Diceros bicornis minor: one gene and its partner. The main gene of each other region encodes a partner of the protein of the gene in region 2 in a complex. Links are inferred from orthologs where the notes say so. Each region holds a gene or a part of one and is shown on either strand. Other genes may lie near its edges.

Region 1 (7,902 bases), on a different chromosome or scaffold from region 2:
ATGCCCGCGGGGGCCAGGCCAGGTCGCACGGCGGGGCTGCCCATGTACGGGGAGCCCGGGGGGCCCATGGGCGCCCCCTGGTGGGGCATCCGGGCTCCAGACGGCATCCCGGGGCGCTGGGTGGGGGGCGGGAGTGAAGCAGAAACAGGCGCCCGCGGGTCAGACCACGGGCCCCGGCTCCAGGAGCAGGGAGCCGCGTCTCCCCCACCCCAAGCCCCCCGGCCAGTGACCCTGATGCCGCCGGCGTGAGCGAGGGGTGGGAGGGGCAGGAGCGCCGGAACCGCGCAGCTTTGGCGGAGGGGGCTTTGCGTCTGGCTGCAGAAAGCTAACTGAAGCCAGGCAACTGCACAGGGCATTGCCAGCCTCGGATTTGAGGAAGGTACCATGAAAATGAATATTTAACGGCGCCTTTTCAACCTTTTCAAAGAATGTGCACATTCACATGCTCCTCTGCAAGACAGACTGAGTGGGTCCTTCCATCTCCACTTGACAGATGAGGCAACTGTGGCTCAAGGAGAAAAGCGACCTAGCCAAGGTCACACCGCTCCTCCTGGCAAAAGCAGCCACTGAGCAGTCGTTTCCCGAGGGGCCAAGGGTTTTTGCCCTCCGCTGCTTCCTCTAGGTTAGGGGCTGAGGTCCCTGTTGCGACTCCTGCCGCCCCTCTTCCCATTCCCTGCTTCCCAGTCCACTTCCTGGACTGTCCTGCCTTGCACTCACCCTTCCCATCTTAACCTACTCTTCTCCCTGGGCCCCAGCTTTTGCCCTCTTAGTCCCAACCCCCACCCCCTTTGGCTGATTCCAAGTCTCCATACCTAGATGCTTTGCTGACTTAGCCCACTCCCATAATTTGCTCCCAAGGTAAAGGCTGGAGGCAGGGCTGGCAGCAACCTGAGTGAGCTGAGGCCAGACCCTGCCAGGATTCTCTGATTGGGAGGGCAAGGGACAGCTGGGCTGGGGGTGGGCTGCCCAGAGGGCTTGTGTAGGTCAAAGGCAGCAGCATTTTCTCTTATATCCATCTCTCTCTTCCTGTCTGCCTGGATCACCAGAGATGGTCCCATCCTACAGACTTTCTCTACTTCCCACCCCCACCCCAGGCAGGGCCCAAAGGGGGCCATGGAGAGGGAGACAAGCAGGTGTAGTCCCTAGCCACTGGGATGCAAGTTCATTGAGTGAAGTGTTCCATAGCCTTCTTAAACCTTACTTGTCCAGATTCCAGAAGAGGGATTGGGGAAGGACAGAGGGCTATAAAGTGGAGGGTGGGTGAGATGGGGACTGGGACAGGAGAGCAGGAAGGAGATTAGGGAGCAAAGGATGCAGACCCTGTAACCCTGTTATCATTTAAACACCACCCACTGCACCCCCAGAAGTGCAGCTGCCCCCAGGCACAAGGAGGAGCCTGAGCTTGGTGAATCCCTTCTAACTGCCAACTCTCCCTCCTGTCCCTCCTGCCCTGCACTATGTCTAACCCTAACCAATGCCCCCCCCCACGCCCCCCGCCAGCCAGCTGTCTCTGCCCATCTCTCCCACAGTGAAACCTGCCTGCCCACGTGTTGGCCTCCCCCACCCCACCTGACCTTGTCACTCACACTCCAGAATGGAGCCCAGGCACTGCCACTCCCTACGAGCACATATGGGGCACGGGGAGTGGGGCAGTGGGGCTCACAGCCACCCAAGAACTGAAGCTCTAAGTTGGCCAAATAAAAAAATCCATGTGCATAGCCGCTCTCCCTCCTAGATGGGCCTTTTTAAAGGGACTTCCCCAAGCAGCAAGGTTAGGACTGGAAACTTGGCTGACCGACACAGGCACCCCTGGGAAGTTACCCCAGAGATCCCCGGGGCTGGAGGACAGGCCGCCCCAGGGAAGCCCCTTTTCCCTACCAGATGCTCTCCCACTTATCAAGGACAGCGATACTCACTGATCTGCACAAGAGGCCCTGAGAGGGAGGCTCCCAGAGCCCCCAGAGAGCTGTGCCAGCCACCAATGAAGGGCCAAGATTCTAGGGACTCTGGCCTCCCTCACTGAGAACATGCCTTCCTTGGGGTCACAACCAAATTTGGCCATAGTAAACCTGACTGCTTCCTCTATACCCGGCTCCAACCCCAGCACCCATCCCAAGTCCCGAAGCCCCTGCCTCTCCCATTCCACTGCCCCCCACATCCCTGCCAACCTGGCCCCTGTTGCCTCAGCTTGAAGCTCCCATCCCCGCAGGTTGTCCTGGGCTCCCTCGGCTCCCTGCATGCCTTCCAAGTCTGCTCATGGCAGGACGTGCTGCCCTGCCCCTTTGGTCTCTAGGCCTTGTGTACCTGACTCCAGCCCTTCCTTCACACCTTTGAGGCATTAAGGACATCAGCTTCTGGTGGCGGAGTCTGCCAAGGGGATCCTCAGATCCCTTAACTTGGGGTCTGTCCCTAGAGAAGGCCTCTCTCTGACCCTGATGGCAGAGTCCATCAGTGAAGCCCCAGAGCCCTCCTGCCAGGATGCAGAGGTTGTTCAGCCAGAAAGCTTCCCGCTCACAGTGCCTCCAGGGTCACCTGCTCCTTGCTCCCAAGACACCATCAGAGAGACACTGTCCCAATGGATGAACAGACAGCCCAGCCCAGCCGATGCCATGTCCCCCACCCCCACCCTAGGGCAAGGGTAACACCTGGGCCCACAAGGAAAAGAACGGAAGACAACATGTCTGGTACCGAGGGGACCCCCACTTGAGGGGGCAGTCCCCAAGTCCCACCCCCATCCCCTGACAAGAACCCATGCAAACGCCTCCCTTCCCCGCCCGGACACCCATCCCTGGCCGGCCGCCTGACGACGTGTTCGGGTGCCAGGGCGCCAGCACGGTGGTGGCGCTGGGCCGCGGGCCCTGGCGCCCCCAGCTAGAGGGGTGGGAGAGCGGGACCCCCCTGCTGGTCCCTCCCGATCATCCCTCCATTCAGCCCGAGCCAGCTCCTCACCCTCCCCCGCTAACTTTCCCCCACTCACCACCCCATGGACCAGAAACTCAAAAAGTTTGCTTTTCGTGGCTTTGCGCGCCCCTCCGGCAACTTCGTCCGCGGCCATCGGGGTGGGCTCAGCGGCTCCTCTCACTCTCTCTCTCTCTTCCTCTTTCTTTCCCTTTTCTGCCTTTTTTTTTCCTCCAACTCTCCCCTCTGAGTCCTGCTGGGCTCTCTCACACTTCTACTCGAGCGGAGTGGGGAGGGGGCCCCTTCAGGGCTGCCCTGACGGCCCACGGCCCACGCCGCCGCCGCCCGCCCGCCGCCGCCGCCGCCGCCGCCGCCGCCGCCGCCGCCGCCGCCGCGGCTGCCGCATTCCTGCACTGATAAGACAGAAATAGTCCGGCGGCCCGGGGTCTGCCTGTTGACTCGGCGGGGACAGAAAAGCCTGCCTTTCCAACCCTCGCTGTCCAAACAGCGCAGATAAGCAGCGAGGCACGCCGGCAAGCCCGGCTCCTGGGCGCTGGGCAGCGCCACTGCAGCCCGAGGCTGCCCGAGGGCCGCGGGGAGGGGACGCGAGGGGAGGTGGCGAGGGGCTCGCCGGCCACCCGGGCTCTCGCCACAAATAGTTTCTCGGTTAGAGAATTCGCCGGCAGGGCCAGGCAGGGAACAGTCAGTTCCAACTTTCCCCCCAAGTGGCTCCTGCTGCATTTCTGAGGCCCTTTCCCCAGAGACCTGGCAGGCCAAGTAGGGAAACATTCTCTGGAAGGAATCCGGGGGGAGCCGGAGCCCAGAGGAGGCCTTCCTCCTGCACCAGGCCGGCAGTGGTGGGTGTGCCCAGCGAGGCGGTGTCCCCCTGCGTCCACAGATGTGTGCGCCCTTGTCTCGCCCGCCGTGTGTGTCTGCACCCTTGTGTGGGCACGGCGCGGTGGCTGTGGGTGTGGATGTTTATGTGCGTGCACAGACAAATGCCTTCTCTGTGTGCCTCCCTCCACGAGAGCCTCTAGTGCGTGCGCGCGCGTGCGGGTGCGTGTGTGGCAGGACATGGCCTGTGTCTTCCAGCGCCGTGTGAGTCTATTTCTGGGTATGTGTCTTTGTTTGTCTCTATGTGAGAAAGTGAGGGCAATAGGGGAAGTATTTCAGAAAGAGGGAGGTGGATTGGGCTGGCAAGAGCAGGAAGAGAAACATGGGGGAGGCAAGGAGCTGGGGTGGGTGCCTGGGTGGATGGGTGGAGGAAGTGAGGCAAGCAGGCCCTGATGGCTTTGGAATGGGCTGGTGGTGGGAGACCAGGGGAGCTGGGCCGGCTGGGTATGGTAGGGCCAGCCTCAAAACCCCAAAGAAAGCAGGGTTATGGGGTTATGAGGGAGCCCCAGAAGGGGCAATGCAGAGGAAGCTGGCAGTCCCTGGGGTACAGGAGGGACAGGAAACAGGAGGAGCAAATCCTGAGATCCCCAGGCTGGGAGCCCTGGCCCCGCCCATGCCTCCAAAGGCCACACCCCTCTCTCCTCCTGGAGGAGAGGCCCATGGCTTTGGGACAACAGTGGGTCAACTTTATGGGCCTCCTGGGGCTGCACTGTCAGAATCTAGGTGAGGATGGGGCGATGCCTGGGGGAATGTGTTGGAAAACTTATTTGAAGTTAAACCCTGCAGACCCAGCATTACACTGGGGAGTCCTGACCCTCAATGTTTCAGAATGCCTTCAGAGGTTGGGACAAAGAACCAAGGGAGTGTTCTGCTCCAGGATCCTTCTTTGCCTGCGGCCTGACTCCCTTGGGCCCTGGTTGTGCACCTGGCTGTCATTGTCCGTTTAGGTGCCCACTGTCAATCCCCTGAAAGGCCAGAGAGGACGTGTGTCCAGGACACCCCTCCTCTACGGCCGGCTTAGCAGGGGACCTAGAGATTCCATTCCTATTAAATCTCTACCCAGGCTTCCCCCTAGAGCCACACATACCGAGACTGGGCCCTGGTGGGGTGGGGATGGGTGGGCAGTTGCCATAGGCCATGAAGGTGGCTACTGGTAACCTGGAGAGGTAATCTCTCTAGTTTGTCCACTAACCTCTAAAACCTGTCACTCATTCCCATTTCTAAGCCTCTGCTCCAGCTATTCTTTTGCCTGGAATCCCTCTACTGCTCCTCTGCCTGTCCAGATCACATTCATCCTTTAAAGCCCATGTCTCGCCCCACCTCCCCCAGGAAGCCTTCCTGGTCCCACTCCTATGCACAGGTCTTTCTCTTCTCCAAATGCCCATTGCCATCCACCCTGCACCATGAATTGGCACTTGACTGACTAATGTCTGATGTGCCCTGTGGTTCACGTATATTAGATTTGGTTTCCCAAATAGGCTGCAGCTCCCTTAAGTCAGAGACCGGTCTTTAAGTCCCACTCTCCCCTCATGCCTGGACACAGGGACTTGACATGACCAAATGCCTGCTAACGCTTGCAACCACCCAAAGCTCAGTGGGCCAGTGGACCGAGCTCATGCTCTGACACTTACCTGGACGTGTGAGTCACCATGGGCACCCCACCCCCCATGGGTGCTTCTAGCATGAACACATGAACCCACAGGTCTTGGAGGTTCTGGGGGACTGGGCAGGGGCAGTCACCTCTAGGCTTTGTGTAAAGCTCAGAGTTCTCAACTCTTGGAGAGGCCTTTTGGGAAAAGAAGACAGCAGAGGAGGTGGATGGGCACCCCAGACTGGGCAGCTGAAAAGTTTGAGGGAAGGGCACGAAGGGCAGTGGGAACACCCAGCATTTGTGAGGGGCTGGTCTTGGTGGTGGAGGAGATTGCAGGAGGTGGTTAGACCAAAGGCTCTGGTGGTACCTGAGGAGGAGCCCACAAGTCATTCAAATCTATAGATAACCCCCTCCAGGGCCACCCCAAGACCAGGGCCTCCCCCTGCAGCCCCCTTTCTGGGAGACATTCTTATGTGTGCACAGACAACAGATATATAGTGCATACACGCCCCAAGGCACACACCAATGCAAACGCCAAAGGGACAAGGAGCCACGTAGATTTTCACACACAGGCACACCCTGATCACCTCCACATCCCACTTGCAAGGCCCAATTCACAAGGCACCCGCCAGCAGACAGGTTTGCATGCTGCTTTTACGGGGGCAACCCTAAGTGTAAGGACACAGGAGACCCTTCAGACTAGAAAGCAGAGGCGCCAGTGTGGATGTCCCAACCAGGACTCCCACCTCACACAGGCCAGGAACCCCGAAGTCTCAGCCCCAGAAGGGCGCTCAGCAGTGCCATGCCGCTGGCTCCTGCCGGTGGGAAGGAGGCCCAGGGAAAGCCCGATTCCAGCAGGCAAGGGGCTGTCCTCCAGGCCGGACCGGGCCCTTAGCCGCGGCCAACTGGCCCAGGTCGAGCTCCGGGCAGGCCGTGCGCGTGTCCGGGCACAGGGCGGCCGCCCGGAGGCCCGGAGCCGGAGTCCCCCCTGCCGTCCCCCCATCTCTTCTTCCCTCGCCGAAGCACCACCAGCACCAAATGGCAAAGCGCCTCTCCCCGCGCAGGGAGAGATGCGCCGCGGCCAGCGGGATGGGCTCGGCGCCCCCTCCCCCCACCATCACCGCGCCCGAGCGCTGGGGGCACGTCCCGGCCCGCGGCCGCCCGCCCTCACCCTCGCCCGCGGGGGCCCGGGACAGCGGCGGGAGCCGGCCCGGAGCCGGCCCAGGCATGCGCACTGCGGCCTCCCTCCCGGTGAAGGTCAGCCCAGGGCCTAGCTGCAGGACTCAGAGGCGGCGGGGAGAGGCAGAGGAGGGAGGAGGGATGCAGCGAAGAGACTTAACTCCTTCCCTGCGGGAAGACGGCCACCGAGGCTGGGGCCGGAGCCCGGAGTCCCACCCTCCCCGCCTTCTGTGGAGGTCCCATTACGGGGACCGGCTCAGGGGGAGGGGGGAGGAGGGGGAGGGAGAATGGAAGAAGGCGGCTAGGAGGAGAGGAGGGAAGCTGGAAGGGGAGAGGGAGGAAGGCAAGGGAGGAACAAAGGAAACCAGACTGAAGGGAGAGACCTCTTCCCGCTGCCCCTTTTCCCTACACCCTACACCCCTAGCAATAAAGCCTTCCTTAGCAGAAAGACATCGCGTGTGAGTGTGTGTGTATGTGAGAGAGAGAGGGAGAGAGGGGGAGAGAGAGAGAGAGAGAGAGCGAGAGAGCGAGCGAGCGAGCGAGCGAGCGAGCGAGCAAGTGAGGCCACCTGGAGCTCTCAGGCTGCGGACCCAGTGATTTCTATGTTCTGGCGCATCCCTAAACCCAGCCCCCACCTTCTCCTTTGGTCACTAAACCCCAGGGCATGCCAGGGGCCCCAGAGGCAGCTCTGACCCAGCCTACCTGCCTGGCCTAAGTCCCAGGCCCCCAGGGAACCCTGGCTAGACCAGAGATGGGTGGAGGGGAGTCTGCACCTTAACCCCCACCTCTAGTGAGGGGCTTCCTCCAGCCAGCAGACAGGACATTGGCAGACCAGACCAAGGGCTTTGTGGCACAGTCCTCCTCCTCCTGGCTACCCTCACTACTCTTCCCAGGCCAGAGTAGCGCTGCGTACCTCCCTCTTTGTGCAAGAATGTTTCCGTGCCCGGGACACCCTCTGCTACTATCGAGGGGGCAGTCTGTCTCTCTGTGACTTCACCTTTCTGTGTCAGTTTTGCAAACGCACACAAGAGAGACAAATAGGATAGAAAGAAGCAAAAAACAAAGAAAAAGTAGGACACCTAAACAGTTGTGTGACCTTGGGCACCTCGCTGGACCTCCCTGCCCCTCAGCTTCCTCAGAGTAAAAGGAGGGGTGTAGTCAGAGGATTCCTAGGGCCTTCCTGCCTTGAAATCCAAAGATTCCATAAGACAGAGACAGGAACCAAGACAGACGAGGCAGGAAGGAGAGAGAGACAGAGACACAGAGAAACAGGCCCACACCAAGTAAGGGGTGCTGTCAACCCGCAATGAAGCCTGGACCCTGTCACCCACACCACCATG
Region 2 (7,680 bases):
CCAGTGCGGCTCCTGGCTGGCTCGCCAAGACTGTCGGGGGAAGAGGGAGAATCTCCCTCTGCCCTTTCCCTTAAGGTTCCTCTGGCTGGCCAAATAATCAACAAGACAGGTTAGCAGGAGAAAATAATACCAAGTTTAATAACATGTATACATGGGAGAAAGCAGGAACACTGCGTTTCTCAACACAATAGCAGAAATTCTCGTCTTAAATATCTTTTTCAGCCAATGACAAAGGAGGATTTTGGCGGTGGGGGGAGTCAGTTACAGGAGATTACCACTAAAGCACAGTAAACAAGAGTAAGGTTTATTATGTAGCTCAAGGCCTCACCTTCCACATTGACAAGTCACTAGAAATGCGCTCATCCCCCTCTCTTCTCCAAACAGAGAGGGAGATACCTTTACAAGTGGAGATTTCCCTTATAAATGTAAATGATTGTCTGGCAACTCTTCGCAGGGTCATCCAGAGAATGTGGCCAGAGAGACAGAACCTCTGATAAGAGGGGCTTGTTGGTGCCTTTCCTATTCTAACATTTACCCTACGTTATCTTTACAGCCATCATGATAGATCTATTCCAGGAAGGAGCTACCATGTCAAATTCTTTAGGCAGTTAGTGGGGGAGGTCAAATGTCCTCAGAGAAAACAACCAAGGTAAAGAGATAGATTTCAGGGTGGCCAAATCTTCATCTCCCACACTAATTACCCCCACACTGCTAAATACAATGGACATATCTCTGTCTTCCTGGTACTCAACTTCTCAATCAACATAGTTGACTGGTTCCCTTTCTGAAACACTCTATCCTCTCAGTTTACAATACTTGACACTTCCTTCTCCTTCTCTACCTATTTCCACAAGTATCTCTAGACTTCTTGGTCTGGGGCCTTTTTCTCACCTTTATCTCCATATTCTAAGTGGTCTCACACAGAGACCATGGCTTATGGCTTTTTCTCTTCACCACTGTATTGCCAGTGCCTAACTCAGGGCCTAACAATAAATAATAAGGTAGTATTTGACGAAAAAATGAATAAATCATTCCTTAAATTATTCCTTGTATTTCTATCACCTAACAGTTCTTAGCTCATAGTTCATTTCCATGAACTATTTGTGAAATAATTGAATGGACATGATTATTATTGTTAAAAAACAAAATTTAACCAAGTAAATTTGAAGATCTAATTGGCTTTATTAGGCAATTCATGAATCAGGCAGTATCCCCTCTAGCAACTAGAAGAGTACTTTGAAGAGTTGTACAAAATGAAAGGTTTTTTATACTTATAGGAAGAAGGGTGGGGCAAGTGAAGGGAAGGTACCTGGAAACTGTTTTATCTTGCAGATTGCCTCTTCTTCCTCTGGGGGGGATGGGGGATGGAGAGGGCCCAAGTGGCAGATGATCTCATTGGTGCTGATCAAAAAATTCTAGACTGGCCAATTAAGATGACATTTCTAGGTTTGTATCATAGGCTTTGGCACATGTGACACTGTTTTGGGCCTGTGGTTTTCCTTTTAATATTCTAATCCTACAAACGAGGAATCGGAGAGGGTCAGAGAGATTGAATAATTTCCCCTGGTCACACAGCTAATAAGTGGCGCAGCTGGTATTCAAACCCAAGTCTTAACTCCAAATGTTTCTTCTCACCATTACATCATACTGCCTCCCTGCATATTTCATCCCTAACTCCTAGAATCTGCCTTCATTAACTCTATTCTCAAGCCAAACTGGAGTGATCGACGTACCTGAACATGTCTCCTATTTTCCCACCTCTCAATCTTTTTCATGCTTGAAATCCTATTTCCACTTCCAGTTGTACATTTACCTGTAGCTATTCTACTAGTATCTTAAGATAGTTTTCAAATTCTGTGTCAACCTTAAAATCTTAAATTTTCTAGTTGCAAGTGAATTTTCTCCCACCTAAACCACTTTTAAATACAATTGTAATTTGTATCATATTCTTTCAACATTGAAACTGCCTACAGGGAGGAATTGTAATCCACATAGTGCTGCCTTAATATTCTGCCTTCCTTGCATGTTGAAAGGCTGAGTCAGTCTTTGTTGACTTGGAATGAAGAGTTTTAAATTTGTACTTGATCTAGAGACAGAATGCCTGAGGGAAATGAGTAGAACCAAATAACTGAACATATATATTATATATTCTTAACATTAAACTCTATCCAGAGAATCTGACTAAGGGCCTTGATCAGTTAAGAGAATTTGGCGGAAAAATGTTGATTCTTCTTGTTGGGTTCACATGGGCCATTTTCTTCAGTGGGCTCTTGTTAGGGAAATGGGCAGCTGGTCTGACTGAGGATGCAAAAGAAAGCAAAGTCTAAAAAGGAGCAACTTGGGAATCTTAAGTTGTTGGTGATGCCATTGCTGATCTGATGCAAGTGGGAAACTCAGGATAGGGTGGCCTGGGAGAGTCAAATTAGGTCGTTTGTATTAATGTGATGAGCTAGAAATAATCCCTGTGTTTGATCTTTCCAAACTTGTGTCTGCTGAGTGTGAGCAAAAAAAATGAATGAAAAGGAAGCCATACACTAAATCCAAGAACATTCTCTATTGCCTGAAACAAGTCATAGACACTCTCAGATAATAAAGTGTCTGCGGAGAGGTCAACTTTAATGACTTTCTGGCACCCTTGTCATCTTACTACAGCCATCTGCCATGTGTTCTTTTAAGGTTCAGTTCCTAACTTTTTATTTTTGGTGAAGTCCTAGAAGTGACCAGGTGAAGCCTAAGAACTAGGATTAAGAGTAAATTCAATTCAATAAACAGCTCCCTTTTTCTTTTGTGGGCCTACCATTGTTCTATGCTCTTTACAACAATCCTGAAGATTCAGGATCTCCCCATTTTACGGATGAGAAAAGAGGAGTCAAGGCTGTGCGGAGTCAGAATATGACTGGAGGTCAGTATGGTCCCCAAATGTTCTGTTGCCACTTGTCTTTCCTGCTGTTGATCAGCCTGGGAAGCCTTCCATGCAGCCTTCTCAGAACACCTCTCTTTCTCTCTCCGCGCTATCTTACTGTCTTCGGTGGAAGCTGCTGCATAAATTACATTCCGACACACAGAATCCTAAGCATGCAAGTTGAATTTCAGCTACTTTTACATTTTAAGATTTCGGCACGCTCTGAGGCGGATGTAGAAAAACTTTGCAAATGAAAGCAGCGGCGGATGTCATTGGGAAGTACTCATCCCATGGCAGGTAGCTCAGGAGCTCCAGAGGGCGGGAGGCCGCGAGCAGAGAACAAAGGCTGGCGAGGGGCGGCGACTGCGGACCGGGAACACGAGGAAATGGGCCAGGGCCCTCACAGCCCACCGTGACACAGCCACGGCGGGGGGAGACCCCCCAGGAATTAGGGCGAGGGGCGGGGGAGGGGACCCCCGGGAGAGAGGGGGCGGGGACCCTCAAGGAGGAGGAGGCGGAGGAGGGGACCCCCGGGAGGAGGGGCGAGGACCCTTGGGGAAGGGGCGGAGGAGGGGACCCCGGGAGGAGGGGGCGGAGGAAGGGACCCCTGGGAGGAGGGGCGGGGCTGGGCGCCGCGGGACGCTGTGGGAGGAGAGGGCTGACGTGCGGAGGGGCCGGGCCGGGGGCGCGGGGAGGGGGCGGCGGCGAGCTCGCCAAGTGGCGGCGGGCCGGGGCGGGGCTGGGGGCCGAGGGGAGCGGCGGGAGGTGGGGCTGCGGAGCGCGCCGGGTGCGGCGGGCCGGGGATCGCGCGGGGCTAAGGAGCGGCGGGCGGGCGCAGCCGAGGGGAGGCAGACGGCGGCGGAAGGGAGCCGAGGGCCGAGGGCGGCGGGGAGCCCAGGGGAGCGGAGCCGCCGAGGGCCGCGGGCGGCGGCGGCGGCGGCAGAGGGAGCGGCGGCGAGGGCAGCTGAGGGCCGCGGGGAGCGGCGGGCTGCGGCCGGCGCCGGGCGGGCGCGCTGAGGGTCGGCGGGGCGGGCGCGCCGAGGCCGCCGGCGTCCTCCTTCCGGCCCTCGGCCGCGGCGCGAGGCGGCGCGCTGGCGGCGGCCATGGCGGTGGCGGCGGCGCTGGCGGGCCGCGGGGCGCGCGGAGGCAGGGGCCGGCCCCCGGGCGGCGGGCGGGCGGAGGGGGCGGGGCCCGGGCGGCGGGCGGCCCGCGCGGCGGCGGCGGCGGCGGCGGCGGCGGCAGCGGCGGCGGCGGCCGGGACGAGACGGCGGCGGCGGCGGAGGCGGCGGCGCGGGGCGCTCGGGCTGATGGCGGCGGCGGCCGGCCCTGGGACGGCGCTGTCCCCGCGGCCGTGCGACAGCGAGCCGGCCACCCCCGGAGCGCAGTCCCCGAAGGTGAGGAGGCGCCGCTCGGCGGGAGGGGGTGGCGGGCGGGGGCCGCGCGGTTCCCGCCTCAGTCGCGCTGTGAGGACGCGCGCCGCGGGGCTGCGGAGGGCTGGACGCCGCCGGGAGGCGGGAGGAGGCTGAGGAGACCCCCCACGGGCCTCGGCCGGGTCGGGAGGCCCTCGGGGACAGCGCGAGGGCCCGGGCCGGTCAGCCCGGCGCTGTGAGGGTGGCCGGTGAGGAGCCGGCCTCCCCGTGTCCCCGCGTCCCGGGGTCCGGGCAGCTTCCCCAGAGCTCGCTCCAAGAAGCCAGTGGTGGGCTTCTTGTGGGCACACCACTTTCGCTGCAGACGGAAGGAGTCTCCTCTCCTTAGTCTAGGATGGTGTGTAGGTCTAGGACATCTTTCGTCTGAGGGGTGTCGGAGGGATGGGAACTCTTCTGAGCAAAGAGCATAAACAACTGGGGCAAACAAGATAGGTGTTCAGTCAGTGGACTCAGTTTATTACTAAGTTAATACACAGCCATTCTAATATTTTCAGTGAAACTTTAAAAAAAATTGTAGTTGGTACTGTTTTCAGAAGGTAGAAAGGACTTAGTGTTTCTGAAGTCGAAGATGAATGGAGAAAAACCAAGATGAGCAGTGGAATGTCATGCATTAAAACAGTTGTTTTTAAAGTTACTAGTTTGTGACGGAAGGTTGGAATGGAGGAGTGATTTCTAAAAACCTCAAAATTTGAATTGTCATTGAAAAGTTGAAAGTAGAAGATAATGGGAAGTAGAACACTTAAGACCCATCTCTTGCCTTGAGTGTGTTGACAGTAGGAACAAGTTCTTGTTGCCCTCCCACAAGACTGCTCCTGCCTTGTCCCTGTATCCTCTGTGCTGCACAATAAAGACTCTCCTTTCTGAGGGTTTCTCAAGTGCCCGAACCTATGCAAGTGACTGGGCTGTAAGGCTCTTAATCCCCACCATTGTGCTTCCAGAGTCAGTGCTGGGCCTGGCACGTGGGGAGCGCTCAGCGTACCTCCCCACTGCGTGTCTAGTGCAGGACTTATCTGAACCTCGTGGTGGATAGGAACCTGTCTAATCTGAAGGTGGGAACCACCTGTGACTCCCATTTAGTAGATCTGGCAGTCTTAAGTACGGACTTCTGTATCAGTATCGAAGGTACAAGCAAATTCCTTTAACTTAATTGTATTCTATCATAAGTTAGGAAAGATATTGCTGTTACATCTCTCTAGGAAAAGGTCAGCCAGCTAATGTTCAAATGCATTTGCCTAGAATTTGTAATAGCAGATTCAAAACACTGCGTATGAAATTGTGGTTTCAGCTTTTTTGAGGGCTTTGTGTTTTTAACTTTTTGTCTCTTTTCGATTTTTTTGCCGAGGGGAATATACTTAAATGAATTGACGTAAAAATCCTTAAAATGCTCAGAAGCCAGTAAAATAGAAAAAAATGATACTTGAATGCTTAGAAGGAGTTATGCCTGAAATATTGAAGATGAAATGTTTCAATTGTGATACTTATTGTTAAGTGTAAATTTTGGTGAAATAGATTTAGACTATTCTCTATCTCCTGTCTGGTTGCTTGTCTTAATAGGAACATACAGAGCTCTTTAATTGAATGCTTATTTTATAAGAACTGAAAAGGAGAATATTCTGTATATTTTACTATTTGGGAAGGAATCTGAGTAACTTCCTAACAGCTGGAGCCATTTGAAACTTTCTAAGTATCATCGTAATCATATTAACTAATTTTTATTGGGCACTTAATTATTTGCTAGGCCTTGCTCTAAGTGCTTCCCATTTATTAACTCATTTAATCCTTGCCTTAGCCAAGTAACACAGGCACTATTATCATCTCAGTTTTACAGATAAGGAGCAGCTCACAGAGGATAACTACTCAGCTAGTGAAGGGCAGTGCCCAGTAATATCCCAGGCAGTCCAGCTTTGGCGTGCCTGATGAGTATACCTTACTACCTCTTTATATTCTTCTGCAGGATTGCTTTCCTTTTAATATGTAGCAAGAGAACCATGGCAAAATTGTATTAGTCTTAGAAAGCTACGTTACCTTGACTTAAAAAAAATCTGCTTTTTTAAGGCTTATATTCATTAAGCTTTCGCTAAATAATATGTGAATAAATTAATTTCCTAACATTTTATACCTCATTTATTTCCTTAATGCAGTGGTCCACCTTACAGCCTTAATATTGTTACATAATGGATAAAGTCACTTAAAAAAATTTTAAGCCTCTCCTTTTTTTGGGGGAAGGTGTGTGTTGCTATATAGATTGATGATTCTTACTAGGATATAGTTCTGCTAAATTTTTGCAATGTAAGGAAAAAAATTTAACAGGATTGGTACCCTGTTTTTAGTTCTTGTATGTCCTCTTTTTACAGGGATATAAGTATCTAAAATAGCTGATTAGAATAGCCCTATAAGCCAGCTGTAAGTTGAGTTAAACACTAAATGATCCATACATTTTTTTCCTGGCTGGGGTAGGAGGGTTTGCTTTAATTTTAGAGTGTTCCAGCAATTTTATGTGTGTATTTAAAGCAGAAGGCGTTTTAACCTTGGTTGGTAAGAAAGCGAAAGTAGACTTAGATTTACAGGTTAATTGAAAATTTTCTTATTTTGATTGTTTTGAAGATCAGTTTTTAGTTTTTTCCAGGTCTTGCCCATGCTAAATTCTTGTCTCCTGTTAATTATAATAGAAAGTTAACATTTGCGTAACCAGTTGTCCTTAGAAAGCCTTTAAGTTGAGCTTCTTAGCAAGTTTGGGAAGATACATAATCATTCTTTTCTTATTTTTCTTTTATTATTTTTTGAATCTTTTAAATGTGTAGGATGATAATGAAGATAATTCAAATGATGGGACCCAGCCATCCAAAAGGAGGCGAATGGGCTCAGGCGATAGCTCTAGGAGTTGTGAAACTTCAAGTCAAGATCTTGGGTACTGTTATTTTATTGCTTAATAATATTTTTTGTGCTATGTTTCTCCTCTCTGCATTAGCTTCCTCCTCCCCTCCCCCCAGCCCTGGCAAAGGTAATTATAAATATTGTAGAGTATTTTTTGTGTTTTACAGTGTGACATCAAAGTTGCTTTTGCTATTCAGTGTCATTTTAAAAAATTTTCTTTTATTGCGGTAAAATACACATAAAATTTACCATTTTAACTATTTTTAAGTGTATAATTCAATGGCATTAATTACAGTCACAGTGTTGTGTACCCATCACCACCATCCATTTCCAAAACTTTGTCACTACTGCAAACAGAAATTCCGTAACCATTAAGCAATAAAAATTCCCATTTCCCCTTTTCCCAGCCCCTGGCAACCACCGGTCTACTTTCTGTCATTATGAATTTGCCTATTTTAGGTACCTCATATAAATGGA

What was found.
Region 1: PHF10 (region 2) and SMARCD3 share a complex: the UniProt entries of both Homo sapiens proteins name them as parts of the neural progenitors-specific chromatin remodeling complex. The link is inferred for Diceros bicornis minor from reciprocal best matches to the Homo sapiens genes PHF10 and SMARCD3.

The regions. Positions count from the first base shown.
Region 1 is NC_080742.1:96,903,847-96,911,748, forward strand, and holds the start of SMARCD3 (SWI/SNF-related matrix-associated actin-dependent regulator of chromatin subfamily D member 3), read right to left. Parts: upstream 3,189-7,902; 5' UTR 3,056-3,188; coding exon 2,978-3,055; intron 117-2,977; coding exon 1-116. UniProt on the Homo sapiens protein: Involved in transcriptional activation and repression of select genes by chromatin remodeling (alteration of DNA-nucleosome topology).
Region 2 is NC_080778.1:2,203,305-2,210,984, forward strand, and holds the start of PHF10 (PHD finger protein 10), read left to right. Parts: upstream 1-4,183; 5' UTR 4,184-4,209; coding exon 4,210-4,296; intron 4,297-7,130; coding exon 7,131-7,237; intron 7,238-7,680. UniProt on the Homo sapiens protein: Involved in transcription activity regulation by chromatin remodeling. Belongs to the neural progenitors-specific chromatin remodeling complex (npBAF complex) and is required for the proliferation of neural progenitors.